Linked DNA regions of Coturnix japonica. The protein of the gene in region 1 purifies or fractionates together with the protein of each later gene. This does not show direct contact. Links are inferred from orthologs where the notes say so. Each region holds a gene or a part of one and is shown on either strand. Other genes may lie near its edges.

Evidence for each region. The genes of interacting proteins can lie anywhere in the genome.
Region 2: the proteins of ILK (region 1) and CCT7 purify together in Homo sapiens (affinity purification with mass spectrometry; 4 studies listed by BioGRID and IntAct, with this or other methods). This does not show direct contact. The link is inferred for Coturnix japonica from reciprocal best matches to the Homo sapiens genes ILK and CCT7.

Annotation. Positions count from the first base shown.
Region 1 is NC_029516.1:173,987,712-173,994,403, forward strand, and holds the end of ILK (integrin-linked protein kinase), read right to left. Parts: intron 5,952-6,692; coding exon 5,786-5,951; intron 5,519-5,785; coding exon 5,423-5,518; intron 5,308-5,422; coding exon 5,211-5,307; intron 5,108-5,210; coding exon 5,024-5,107; intron 4,814-5,023; coding exon 4,728-4,813; intron 4,479-4,727; coding exon 4,369-4,478; intron 4,175-4,368; coding exon 4,047-4,174; intron 3,806-4,046; coding exon 3,684-3,805; intron 3,617-3,683; coding exon 3,517-3,616; intron 3,430-3,516; coding exon 3,299-3,429; intron 3,143-3,298; coding exon 2,993-3,142; 3' UTR 2,493-2,992; downstream 1-2,492. Other genes in the region: TAF10 (transcription initiation factor TFIID subunit 10), read left to right, coding at 92-240, 333-397, 486-600, 1,920-2,009. UniProt on the Homo sapiens protein: Scaffold protein which mediates protein-protein interactions during a range of cellular events including focal adhesion assembly, cell adhesion and cell migration.
Region 2 is NC_029519.1:81,263,866-81,271,233, forward strand, and holds part of CCT7 (T-complex protein 1 subunit eta), read right to left. Parts: intron 7,176-7,368; coding exon 6,795-7,175; intron 6,424-6,794; coding exon 6,298-6,423; intron 5,461-6,297; coding exon 5,408-5,460; intron 4,932-5,407; coding exon 4,760-4,931; intron 3,738-4,759; coding exon 3,573-3,737; intron 3,168-3,572; coding exon 2,979-3,167; intron 2,430-2,978; coding exon 2,332-2,429; intron 1,870-2,331; coding exon 1,737-1,869; intron 635-1,736; coding exon 428-634; intron 1-427. UniProt on the Homo sapiens protein: Component of the chaperonin-containing T-complex (TRiC), a molecular chaperone complex that assists the folding of actin, tubulin and other proteins upon ATP hydrolysis.

The DNA of each region.
Region 1 (6,692 bases):
TTTGCAGTGCCATACCGTGCGGTGCCGGGCCGTGCCGTGCTGTGCGGTACCGTGCGGTGCCGTGAGTCCCGCTGAGCGCCTCCTCCCGTAGCTCCCGTGTCGGCCGCGGCGCCGCCCGAAGGAGCGATGTCCAACGGCGTTTACGTGCCGCCCGGCGCCGCCAACGGGGAGGTGAAGCCGGTGGTGTCGGGGACGCCGCTCGTGGATTTCCTGCTGCAGCTGGAGGATTACACGCCCACGGTACGAGCGGCGCGGGGCGGGCGCTGAGGGCGGGCACCGGCACCGGGCACCGAGTGCTGAGCACCGGGCGCTGAGCGCGGCTCTCCCTGCAGATCCCGGACGCCGTCACCGGGTATTACCTGAACAGAGCGGGATTCGAGGCCTCCGACCCGCGCATGTGAGTGTAAAGGGCGGCCGGGGGGGGGGGGTGCGGAACGACCCCCGGTGCCGTATCCCCGCCCACCCGCCCGTTGTTGTGCCCGCAGCATCCGGCTGATCTCGTTGGCCGCACAGAAATTCATCTCTGACATCGCCAACGACGCGCTGCAGCACTGCAAGATGAAGGGAACGGCCTCGGGGAGCTCCCGCAACAAGAGCAAGGTGGGTGTGATGGGGGGCACTGCCAGGCATTGACCTGGGTCACAGAGTCACAGCGTGGCCTGGGTTGCACAGAACCACAGTGCTCATCCATCCCAACCCCCTGCTGTGTGCAGGGTCACCAACCAGCAGCCCAGGCTGCCCAGAGCCACATCCAGCCTGGCCTTGAATGCCTGCAGGGATGGGGCATCCACAGCCTCCTTGGGCAACCTGTGCCAGTGCGTCACCACCCTCTGGGGGAAAAACTTCCTCCTCAGATCCAACCTAAACCTCCCCTGTCTCACTTTCAAACCATTCCCCCTTGTCCTATCACTGCCCACCCTCACAAACAGCCGTTCCCCCTCCTGTTTATTCGCTCCCTTCAAGTACTGGATGCCCACAATGAGGTCTCCCCGCAGCCTTCTCTTCTCCAACCCAAACCAGCCCAGTTCCCTCATCCTTTCCTCATATCAGAGCTGCTCCAGCCCCTCTGCTCATCTCAGTGGCCTCCTCTGGACCCTCCAAGAGCTCCATGTCCTTCCTGTGCTGGAGGCCCCAGGCCTGGACTCAGCACTGAGATATGAGCTCACAAGAGCTGAGTAGAAGAGGACAATCCCCTCCCTGTCCCTGCTGGCCGCCCCTTTAAATGCAGCCCAGCACACAGTTGCCTTCCAGGCTGCAGGCACACACTGCTGCCTCATATCCAGCTTCTCACCCCCCAAGTCCTCTGCAGGGCTGCTCTCAAGGAGACTTTCCCCCAGTCTGTACACACACCTGGTGTTGCCCCAACCCAATGCATCACCCTGCACTTGTCCTTATTGAACCTCATGGGAGGCTGATGTGTGCTGACTAAATGGGAGGGAGCGTGGTGGGCAGGAGGTGGGCAGTGCTGTGTATGGAGATACTGCAGGGCCACCCAGCCCTGATGGCACCAAACTAACGCTGAGGGAAAAAGATAAAGGGAGGAAGCGTGTAGAAATAGCTTCTGGAATCCACACAGCCCCAATTGTGGCTTAGGGGCAGTGCAATAGATGCGCTGAGTAATGCTCAGTGCGTTTCTCTGCTGTGGAGGGCAAAGAGCAGATGCAGCTTTCAGGCACTTGGTGCTGGTTAATGCCCAGCCACTGGGCATCACACACACATGGACTGCTCCAATGAGGGTCAAAACCCCAACCAAGGGCTGAAGGCACGAGGTGTCTGTGCTGTGTTTGTGTGCTATGAGTGCTGTGTCTGTGCTGTGTTTGTGCTACAAGTGATGTATCTGTGCTGTGTCTGTGTGCTATGAGTGATGTATCTATCTGTGCTGTGTCTGTGCTGTGAGTGATGCTGCCCTTTGTCCCCAGGACAAGAAATACACTCTGACCATGGAGGACCTGACGCCCGCCCTGGCGGAATACGGCATCAATGTGAAGAAGCCGCACTACTTCACGTGAAAGCAGGGCTCGTTGCTGGGGACTTTTCTAGGGTTTGCTTCTGCTCCATTAAACCAATGGGTAGTTTTTTTTCTGGTGGAAAGACCCCCCGTTTCCTGCCGCCCTCCTGCTGTCAGTGCAGCAGCAGCATTTGGCCCACGGAGTTCTGCTCTGCCAGCACCAACAGAAGGTGATGGCTGAGGGCTGCACAGCAGGGAACTGCAGCTGCATCTCCTGGAGGGCTCAGCCTGCCCTGAGCTGCTGCAGGGCTGTGGGCATCGTGCAAACAGAAGCGCCCAGCTTCCTCTGTGCTTTCTTTCCCTGTAGCATGTCTCGTAAGAGGAAGGTTCTGGGGCTGTGACGGCTGCTGCAGCTGCAGCCAGGCTCCTCTGCCTCGCTCTGGGTTTGGCACAGAGCAGCTCCAGCGCCCAGGGCTCCATGTGCCAAGGGCAGCCCTTCTCCCAGCAGCCTATTGAGGTATCAACGCACCCTTCGGCCCGTGGCCAGTTTTCATAACAAATATTTATTTCAGATGCTGGCGGCTTTTCCACGTGGCCTGGATGGAAATGATAAAAAGTGAAGCGCGAAGCTGGGGTGGTGCTGGGCACAAAAAGGCAACTTTCCCCTGCTGTCCTTAGCAGGGAAGAGCACCAGGACTGGACACTGTCAGCATGAGACCAAGTGGGAGAGCTGCCCTGGGCCTGGGAGCATGACGTGGCTTCAGGGCGGCAGAGCCCCACCACGCTCAGTGGCTGCATCCAGGTGTCCTGCTCAGTCTGCCCACAGCTGCCAGGGAGGGTGGAGGTGCTGCCATAGATCGGTGCTACAGAGCCCGAAGCCCACAGAGCGGCTCCAGGGAAGGCAGCATCGCCTGTACCGTGTGTCCATGGCTGGCTCAGGGTGAGGGGGCAGCCCCTGCTCCCCCTTAGCTCTGGGGTTAAAGGCACTTGGAAGTGGTGGGGAAGGGAGCATGGCAGCGGCGGACATCGGGGAGGCACCTCCCTCTACTTGTCCTGCATCTTCTCTAGGATGGGCACGATCATGTCGAACTTGGGGCGCTTGGCTGGGTCCTCGTTCATGCAGATCTTCATCAGCTTGCAGATGTGTGGGGAGATGCCGGGGGGGATGGTTGGACGGAGCCCCTCCAGGGCCACCTGGGAGCGGGCAGAGCAGGGTCAGCCAGCTGGACACAGCCCTGCCTGTGGTGGGCACATGGAGCTCTCCATGCCACTGTGCTCTCCATGGAGCCCTGCCTGTGCTCCCTGCTGACCCAGCTGTGCTCACACTGCTTTGGTCCCCTCCCCCCTCACCTTCATTCCTATCTCCATGTTGGACAAGTCTGCAAATGGCACCTCGCGGGTCACCAGCTCCCATAGCAGCACCGCGAAGCTCCACATGTCCGCCGAGCGCCTGTTAATTTCCTCTGGCTTCTTCTGCAGGGCTGCAGAGAATCCAGTGCAGCACAGGGGCTGAGAAGGGCAGGGAAGGGGGCAAAGCAGCAGGAGGGGCCCGACTGTCTCACACTCACCTTCTGGTGCCACCCATGCGGGCGCATACATCCGCCCGGGGCACTGGAAGGAGAACTTCACGTCGGCCATGCTGATCCTTGCCGTCATGTCCTCGTCGATCTGGGGAGTGAGATGCAGTCAGAGCCACCCACAGCCCAGCCCATGGGCTGCAGGCAGCAGCACTCACCATGATGCTGCGGCTGTTCAGGTGGTGCCGTGGGATGAGGGGCTCCAGCGTGTGCAGGAAGGCCATGCCCCGAGCTATGTCGAAAGCGAATTTCACTGCCTGCATCTGGTCCACCACAAAGTCTGCAGGGAGGGAGGAGGCACTGGGGGTCACTGAGGAATGAGTGTCACGTGTGGGAGGGGACAGGGATGGCAGCACTCGGAGCAGGGACACGCAGGCTGCAAACTGAGCTCCTCGTGGCCACCCTGGAGCTGCAGCTGGAGGAGTCGGTGCTGCTGCCCCCCGTGTACAGAGAAGCAGCCCCCCCCCCCAAGGACAGAGTGACCAGCGCCTGCCTCAGCTGTGTCATCTGTTAGCACTCACTTGTCCCCTCGTGTAACACGTTGTAGAGGGAGCCGTAGGGCATCCAGTGGCTGATGACAATGGGATGGGGGGCCGGGGGGGCCTGGCAGGCACCCAGCACTGGCAGAACATTGGGGTGAGAGAAGATCCTGCAAGAGAAGTGACGGTGCTGAGTTGCTGCTCACAGCCCTGCATCTTCCCTGCCCTCCCCTCTGGTGGCTGCCTTGCCCCCACCAGCCTCTGCTCACCCTGTGGGCTCCCGTCTCAACCCCCCACCCCAGGGATGGTGCCCACCCTCAGGGGCCTTGGCTCCTTTGGGGAGGATGAGGATGCTGCCACTTACCGCAGCTTCGGGTACTCCTCGTTGAAGTCTCGGCTCTTCCGAGTTGTCCAGTCCCGAATCTTCAGCAATTTGACGACGATGTCGTTGCCTTGCCAGCGTCCCTTCCACAGCTGAAGGGAGACAGATGGATACGATCACTGTGATGGGGGGCTCTCAGTCCACCCCTCAGCCCGCTGTGCAGGGCCTGGATCCTGCAGTGAGGCGCAGTGACCGCAATGAGCTGTGAGTTGTCCCAGCCTGCAGCCGGCCCCACAGCGGGGCCTGGACGCCCCCCAAGCAGCCGTACCCCTTCTGTGCTCTGTGTACAGCCAGGGGCTGAGGGAGCACCTGATGTCCCAGCAAGGAAACAGCCTCCATACCTCTCCTGATTGGTTCTCATTGAGTTTCTGGCTCAAGCTCAGCTGTTTGTAGTCTATTCCAGCAAGTTTGTTGAGGGTCCCATTTCCTGTAAGAAGAAAGGATTGCATGGGACTTTCCTCCTGTCTGGGGGCTGCAGGAGGAGCAGCACCAGCATTGTGTGCAAAGGCACTGCACTAAGGGAGCCTCCCTTGCCCCACTGAGCCACGTGCTGTGCCAAGCGCTGCCCCTCAGCCCTGAGTTCCACCCCAGCACACAGATCCGTGCCCCCAGCTCTGCAGGAAGCCTCTGTCCTTACGGGGCCGCGTGCGGGTCGTGCCCTTCCAGAAGGTGTCTTTGTAGGGGATCTTGGTCAGGTTCTGGCCCAGCTTCTCTGCATGCTCTGGAAGCAAATGAAGAGTTGGACAGCGAAGCAGCCCATGGTGCTGAGCTTCAGGGCTGCAGCAGCCAGAGGCAGGGACTGGGTGCAGGTGGGAGCCTCCTACCTTTCAGGATCTCCCGCAGAGGCATCTTGGCTTTGTCAATGGGCGTCTCGCTGTATTTGTTGGCAATGCTGACCAAGGCCCCGTTACCCACGAGGTCCTGAGGAAGAAGAAATTGAGCACCCACAGCTGCTGCTGTTTTCTCAGCCCCTTCCTACACACCCAGCCTCCCCCCTGCCATCCCCTGTGCTCCTGTATCCAGGTGCTGCTCTCACCTCTGCCACCGTGTCGTGTCCCCAGAAGCAGGCGTAGTGCAGAGGGGTGTTCCCGTGCTCATTCACCGCGTTGATGTCCGCTTTGAACTGGATCAGCTGCAGGCAGGACAGTCCTGGTGAGCCCAGAGTGGGTCCCTTCCAGTGCACTGAGGGGGGGGGAATGCACTCACAGCAGGGGCTGCTGATAGGAAGGGGCTGAAGGCTGCGAGGGGATGGTGGGAGCACCCAGAGGTGGGTGCAGTGAGTGCATGGAGGGGGCAGGGAGCAGTGGGGCAGGGAGCAGTGGGGCAGGGAGCAGTGGGGCAGGGCCTGCTGGGCACAGTGAGTCTGACTGTGGCTGTGCAGTGTTTGGGGAGCTGGTACCTTCTGCACGATGTCGCGGTGGCCGTGGCTGGCCGCCAGGTGCAGCGGGGTGTCGTCGCCGCGGTTCATGACGTTGATGCGCGCTCCGCGCATGATCAGCATGTCCACCACGTTGGAGCGGCCCTCGCGACAGGCCCAGTGCAGGGGGCTGAAGCCGTGGTCATCCCTGAGGGGACAGCGGTGAGGATGTGCTGGGAGCACGCAGGGCTGTATCTCAGGGGAGCACTGGGGAATAGCACTGGAGGAGACCCCATACCATCCTGCAGCTCCACGGGCCCCTCAGCTCCTGGCCTGGCTGAGTGAGGCACAGCTCCGAGCCCAAGGGATGCTGCAGCCCCAAGGGCAGGGAGGTGAGTTCTGCTCCCACTGCTCAGCACCCAACAGCAGCAGCCACACAGCCCCAAAGCCACGCTGCACCCTGCCATGCTGTGAGGAGCAGCCCAAGTGCTGCCCCTGCTCTGCCCACCCCCAGGAGGGCCCCGACCACGTTCCATCGTCCTCATGGCTGGAGCAGCAGAGGCTGCTGAGGACCAGGAGCCCCCCCATGCCCCCCCCATCTGCTCGCAGCCGTGCCTGGCCAAGTAAGGGAGGAGGCGGCAGCCGGGCCTTAAAAGGAGATTAGGGCCCAGTAGGCGGGGATGGGGATGGGGATGGGGATGGGGATGGGGATATAGCAGCCCCACTGCCCTCAGCTCCAGCAGAACCGGGGCCATCCAGTGCACTGCCAGCACCGTTCCCGTGGCACACAGCGCTGGGCTGGAGCCGAACACCCCATAACAACCAATAATACCCCATAACAACCAATAATACCCCATAACAAGCAATAATACCCCATAACAACCAATAATACCCCATAACAACCAATAATACCCCATAACAACCAATAACAGCCCATATCAAGCAATAG
Region 2 (7,368 bases), on another chromosome or scaffold:
GGTCTCCCCAAAGCCCTCTCTTCTCCGACCTAAACAAACTCAGTTCCCTCAACGTTTCTTCATAGAGAAGACCTTCATGAAGAGACAACGATCTCAAGCAATCAGGACCTTCAGTCTGCAGCTCCTCTAGAAAACACATCACAGAGGTAACTTTTATACTAATTACCTCAATGTTTAATATAGAAGCCTCCCTCCTGACAAACGATGCATTTTTAAATAGCAAATCAGAACTCCCAGCTCTAAAAAAGTCATCCGACAGCTGTGATCAAAGGGAAAACATATCACTTCCTTTTATAGAAACCTGCCTCAAGCCTACACTGTATCTGAAAACAAACCACGGCATTTAATGAAGGAGGACAGGAGCCCACCACAAACCCAACCAAAGGACACCAGCTCTGCAGGCTCTCCCTGCCAGCCGTGCACCTACCTGTGCATGCTTGGCTCGCAGCTTGTTCAGTATGTTGGTGGCATCAAAGCCAGCGTTGTCACAGAGCTGGCGGGGAATGATCTCAAGGGCTTTAGCATAAGCACCTATCAGCAGCTGCTGCTTGCCTGGAATGGTCCTGGAATAGTCACGGAGGTATTTGGAGAGCTCCATCTCTATTGCACCGCCACCAGCGACAACAGAGTCGTTCTGGAAGGAAAGAGAACAGGCTGTGCTTACTCTTTGTTGCACAAAAGGGGGAAGAGCAGGAAAACCCCTTTTCCCAAAGGCCTACAGCATGCTGGGGTAATGCACATACATCAGGCCCAGGGGAATCTATACTGCCCAGGCCACCACCACCCCCCTGGGAGCACCTCAGGCAGCCTCTGCCAGCAGCTCCTTCCTGCCACCTGCAAGCCAGGGGGATGGTGTGCAGGGCTGTGCTAGCAAACCTCAGCTACCCTTGTGCAGGACAAGCTCCCCCCCGTTGTGAAACATTCAGAACAGACGAGATTTGCAGCAGCACTCAGCAGCCAAGTTCTGCTAACTATTTTTTTCTCCCTCCCTATCTGCTTCAGTAGAAAGGATCAGGATGTTCTTTCTGAAAGCAAAGCAGCTCCAAAAAATCTTGACATGCTTCTTCCCATCCCCTCAGGGCACTCAGGCTTAAGGGGGAAAAAAAAACCCATCCCCACGCATTACGCACAACCCAGAAATACCCACATGCAGAGAACAGCCATCATGCAGGACCAGCAACTCTGCAAGTACAGTACAGTCACATGGGCCTCAGGCTTCCCTCTTGGTGTCACCTGCCCACCTCCACCTGCCAACACCAGCCCTTCCCAGAAGTCACCAACAGAGGCAACATGCAGCATGAACAGGCACACATGAGACTGAGAAGCTAACAGGCACATTAGATCAGCCCTGCTATTCCCACCCAGCACTCCCAAAAGATCCCAACCCCCTTCTTAGTGAAGGTGTTTATAGAACACACCACAACCCAGCAAGCACAGTTAAGTCACAGCACTTGTAACAGAGGAGACAAAACCAGGCATGCCTGAAAAGCAGCTGGCAATGCAGCTGTGAGAATTCTGCCGTAGCCAAGGAATAGCACTTGAGTTAATCAACTAGACACTGCTTGTCTGCATGCTCCACTCTGCAGGCTGAGAGCATTGGGTTTCTCTCAGAGAGACCTCAGCCAAACGTTGAGGTGTGAAGGCACTGCTGGAAATAGCTGCAGCTGTGCCGGGTGTGATCAACAGCCTCAGTGTCTGCTCAACCCCAGCAGGGAATTGCTTCTGCTGGCCCTTACCTTGATAGCTCTCCTGACTATCATGATGGCATCATGCAGGGACCGTTCTGTCTCTTCCATGAACTGCTCTGCACCTCCACGCAGGATTATCGTGCAAGTCTTTGCCTTTGGGCAGCCCGTGAAGAAGTTATACCTGTCAATGCGTGACACAAGAAAGGGTAAGGAGACTGAAAAGCAGTGCTGCTCCTCAACAGGCTCAGCACCACTGGGACACCACACGGGGACAGAGAAATTATTCCCAACCCAAATGCATGGCTGCAGCTGTCCCACCCCACAGTGACCCCATAAGATCCAAAGCTGAGCAAGTCCATATACAAGACCCCAAAAAGGTGTTGCTTTGGAGTTACGAATGAAAATACCACTAAGCCTTCTACAGGGTTCTTGAGGAATAAAGAAACATAAATGCATCTAAAAGGGGTAAGACCTAAATGAGAGCTCATTCCCCATGCTCATTAAAGGAATTAATCATGCAACCTTTGTTTTCACACCATCACCCAGAGAGATGCTCAAAGCTGCTCACGCTCATACCCCAACTTTCCAAACCAGTATCACCCATGCTCCCACAGGGCTGTGTGTTCCCAGCTGGCACATTTACCTGTCTCCTCCGATCTGAGTCTCCTCAAAGAGCTCACACCGGCCCAGTACATCATCTGACAGGGCATTCACACTGGTCTGAATGGAACCACCACAGGCCTGCAGGGGAAGAAGATAAAGCGTGGCATTACCAGTGCTGACAAATGAGACAAACCTGCCCAGCAGGCTCCCACTTTCTAGTTTCCTCCCATCATATATCTAAGCAGGCTACCAGGAATAGAAATAACCCTCGACAGCAAAAGATGATGATGTTACTAAAAGCTGAGCCACAGGCTCCAGAGTTCAGTAGCTACACAAAGGTGGCTTAAGGAAAACAGGCAAGGAGCAGGGAAAATAAACTTCTACCAACACACAACATACAGACCCTTATACAATTCAGCAGCAGAGGAAAAAAGGCAGCACAGTAGCAATCAGCCTGCAGTTATTTCTTCCACCAAGGAATAGTTTTGTTACTATGTTGCAGTTCTACATCATCATCATTTGGGCAAAAAATACATTAAAAAAAATGAGTGTTATTTTCCTTTTTACATCCTTGTAAGGAACAGTGTGTTCAGCAACTCGTGGCTGTTTTGGTTTGGGAGAGGCCTGACCAGCCTGACAACATTCAAGCTAAATCCAAAGTCTTTATGCCAAAACAAAGCAGCTCACCATCATAGTTCGCTTGAGATCTTCCTCTGGGACACGGCCAGCACAAAACATGTCCCTGTCTGCAAAGTACTGGGTGGCCACATCACCGATGGGCAGCTTGGACAGGACGACTTTGGCTCCAGACTTATGGATTTTGTCTAGTTTGTCATACAGGATGTTCCATTCAGCATCCACGATGGCCTGGTAATCCTAGCAGGCATGAGAAAAACAGGCAATACACATTAATAGGATTTGTAATGGGACTGCAAATGCCACCCCACAGCACCAGCCAAGGGAGAGCTCTGCTAAAGCAAAGGCAGCAGTAATGCTGCTCCACGCAGCCATCCACAGCAGCCAACTGCTTTCTCAAGGAAATTTTAGGTCATTCTATGACAAAGAACTACATCTGTTCAAGTGCTTCCAGCAGCAGAACCAAGGATATAAAGGGGCTGGATGACTTGAGTAAAAGGTAGCAATATTCATACTATTCCCCCAGCATAACACACAAGATAACCTCAGGAGGGAAGATGTGCAGATGGCAATCACAGAGTGCCCAGCTCCTTGACAGCCCAGGAGACAAACAGGAGGGGGACAGGCTCCCATTCCAGCTCTTACCTCCACTGTGTTTACTCGGACTTCAGCGTTGTCCTTTTCAGCTTTGAGCTCCAGCTCCACATTCAGCAAAGCAATCTTGGGAGACTGATACTTCTTGGGCTGCATTTCAAACCCAGCGTAAGAGAATGTCTTCTTAAAGGCAACTCCGGCCACCAGCTGGGAATCCTTGAAGAGAAGGGCTATTTGTCAGGCTCAACATCCCAGGGTTTTCTCAGCAGACTTAATAACTCCCAAAGGAAACCTCCTGCTTGAGAACCCTCCTTTACAAAGCTCCCACCAACAGCTGTCTCCTTTGACTAACCCACTTTTGAAGCAAATAAGCAGCAAATATTTTCTTCTCCCTGTTCACAAAACCAGCTTCTATCATCTCCTTTCTATCCCTCAAGACACCACAGAGAAAGATGCTATTCACAATCTCGAGATCAAGGGATGGAGCAATCTGTTCTCTCTCTGATGTCTTTCCCATTTCTATCCTTTGAAGACGGATACTTCTCATTCACAGCCCTGCACTTCAGGGTTTGTTTTTTTTCCATGTGTGAGTGCCCTGGTTTGCTTTCACAAGCTCTGCAGAAGGACAACACTGCCCAACACTGCCCCCTGAAGTGAAAGAGCAAGAGGCCAAATCTGGATAGGATACAGGGAGGAGAAAGCATCACACACCAGGCTCTCCAACATACTTTGTTGGGTTTTTTTTTTGCAAAGATACAATCACAGAATCCACACAAAATGGCCTGGGTTGAAATGGACCACAATGATCATCCGATTTCAACCCCCTGCTATGGGCAGGGTCACCAACCAGCAGACCAGGCTGCCCAGAGCCACATCCAGCCTGGCCTTGAATGCCTGCAGGAATGGGGCATCCACAGCCTCCTTGGGCAACCTGTTCCAGTGCATCACCACCCTCTGTGTGAAAAACTTCCTCCTAATATCCAACCTAAACCTCCCCCATCTCAGTTTAAAACCATTCCCTCTTGTCCTATTCAGTATCCACCCTCATAAACAGCCATTCTCCCTCCATCTAAATGATGTTTGGATCACTAATTATATCTGCTGTGAAGGCAACGAGGTAGAAGTACTTTGCTTTGGTAGCTCCCCAACAGATGTTGTTATCAGGCTGCATTTATGCCAGGGTCAACTCAAACAAGCTGCAATCACTGCCTCCTACCCAAGGCCCCAGGAGAACTTACTTCCAGAGCACCTCCTTGCACCTTCTTGATTCCAATCATTTTGAGCTGCAGCAAGTCATCCAACATCATGACAGCATCCACAACCATCTTGGAAAAAAACTCCTTGCTCTGGGAGATCAGCTTAGAGCTCAGGGCTGTGGCTGCACACTTCTCCAGCAGGCTCCTCTGCTCGCTGTAATGGGGGAAGAACAAAAAGGTCCGACCTTGAAGTTTTAATGGAGGTGCTAGTTATGGTCTGATCAAGCAGACATAGAGCTTAAAAATTAATAATCATCTCAGTAATGTGATTAGCTTGAACTGCAGCTATTCAACACCTAAATACTGATTTGACTTTCAGGGGAGCACTGAGTGTTTAACACTGCCACTGATTTCAGGAAGAGCCACATCTCCACTATCACTTGAAAAAAGAAATCAGACCACTTATTTCTGTCCTTAGCTTCCCCTATGTGCACATGGAAACACTGGCCTATATCCCTGGCTGCAGTGGAAGCCCAAGGGAGAGCACAGCATCCTTCCCAGAGAGGCAGGAAATTCTGACACCCAACTCCACCACTGGGCAACAACTGCTCATCCCATCCTTGAGATCTCAGCCAGACTGAGAGCAGAAGGCAGAAAAGCACAACCAGGTCAACCTTAAAGGAAACTTACTCTTTATCTTCCTTCTTCACTGACACAGCAATGTCTTTGATCTTGTTTACAGCCTGGCAAAACACAAACCAACAGTTGGATTAATGATTCATGCTTGTCAGCTGATCAGTTCTCCAATTCCTTTTTGTATTTTATGCTTTTTTCCCTCCTTCAACATCACTGCAGTTTCAAGCACTTGAGCTACCCCATCCTTTCCAGTAGGGCAATTTTAAGAGACATGCAGAAGCAGCAGGTAGAGTTCAAGCACATTTACATACAACCTCAGTCACAATCCAAGCACAAATCACTGATTCCGACTGCTGTAACACTTCCCGCTTTAATGATTACATGCTAAATGAATTACAGAATCACAGAATGGCCTGGGCTGAAAAGGCCCACGATAATCATCTGGTTTCAACCCCCTGCTATGGGCAGGGTCATCAACCAGCAGACCAGGCTGCCCAGAGCCACATCCAGCCTGGCCTTGAATGCCTGCAAGGATGGGGCATCCACAGCCTCCTTTGAGCAACCTGTTCCAGTGTGTCACCACCCTCTGGGTGAAAAACTTCCTCCTAAGATCCAACCTAAACCTCCTGTTTATAACCATTCCCCCTTGTCCTATCACTATCCACCCTCATTAACAGCTGTTCCCCCTCCTGTTTACATATTCCCTTCTATTTTCCAAGCTAAACAAGCCCAGTTCCCTCAACTTTTCTTCATAGGAGAGGTGTTCCAGAGTAATTTCCTCCTTCTTACACCATAAAAAAATAACTTTTAACAGACTCTGGTGGGATTTTACTGTGATCCTCATATGTTTAAAAGCCTTCTAACCCAGTGAAAAGGAAAAATGGAATAAAACAGGAAAAAAAAGACCAAGCAGAGCCACCCCATTCTGCACAGTGCTGCCTTACCAACTGTGTGGCTGTGCGGAAGGCACGGATGATGATCTGAGGATGAAGGCCTTCCTCCACGTAGGGCTTCACTTGTTTCAGGAACTCAGCAGCAAGCAGAGTTACGGACGTGGTGCCATCACCAACCTGTATGGACAGAACACTTTAGTCACCTATGTACAGCAGAGGCCTCCAGAGGAAAACAGACTTCCTAACTCTCATTGCTCACAGAACTGTGGCTGATTCCTTCAGTGATTAAGCACAAGCTGGGTTCAGACTGCACTCTGTTTGAAGTTTCCCATCTCCCAGCCACCTCTGTTCATGACATTTTGCATCCATAAAGCCTCCAAACCCTTCTACTAAATCTGGCAGAAAACCCAGCCAAGCGTTTTAAAGTTATCACAAAAAAGATGAAAGCAATGAAGAAACCAGGATAAACAGCAGCACGCCACAACCGAGTTTGACCACTTAACGCAAAGCCAACATGCTGCTGCATCCTGTCCAGGTTACCCTCCTACCTCTGCATCCTGAGATTTAGCAATGTCCACCAACGTCTTCGCAGCCGGATGGACAACATCAAGGAGCTTCAGGATGGTGGCCCCGTCGTTAGAGATGGTGGCTTTGCCTACAAGAAATTCAGAAAAAGAAGCTAAGCCCCAAATAAAGCTCTTACTGCCTTGAAACAACACACATCGAACAGAGCTTTCCCAGTCTTGCTGTAGAGAGGCTGCTGTGCAGTGCTCACCTCTGTCATCCACAATGAGTTTGTCCATGCCCCGTGGTCCCAGGGTGGTGCGTACAGCCTCGGCGATCACCTGGCAGGCATTGATGTTGCTGACGAGCTGAGGAATCCCCTGCGAGGTGTCAGTGCCCTCCTTCAGCAGGATAACCGGTGTTGGCTGAGGAGAGAAACCAGGACAGAGCTGTTAGTCCAATCTCAACACGCAGCCCAGCAAGTTCACACTATTAACAAAGTTCACAAACTAACTGAGCTGAGAATCATAGAACTCACAGCATCATAGAATGGTCTGAGTTGAAAAGGACCACAGTGATCAACTGGTTTCAACCCCCTGCTATGGGCAGGGTCACCAA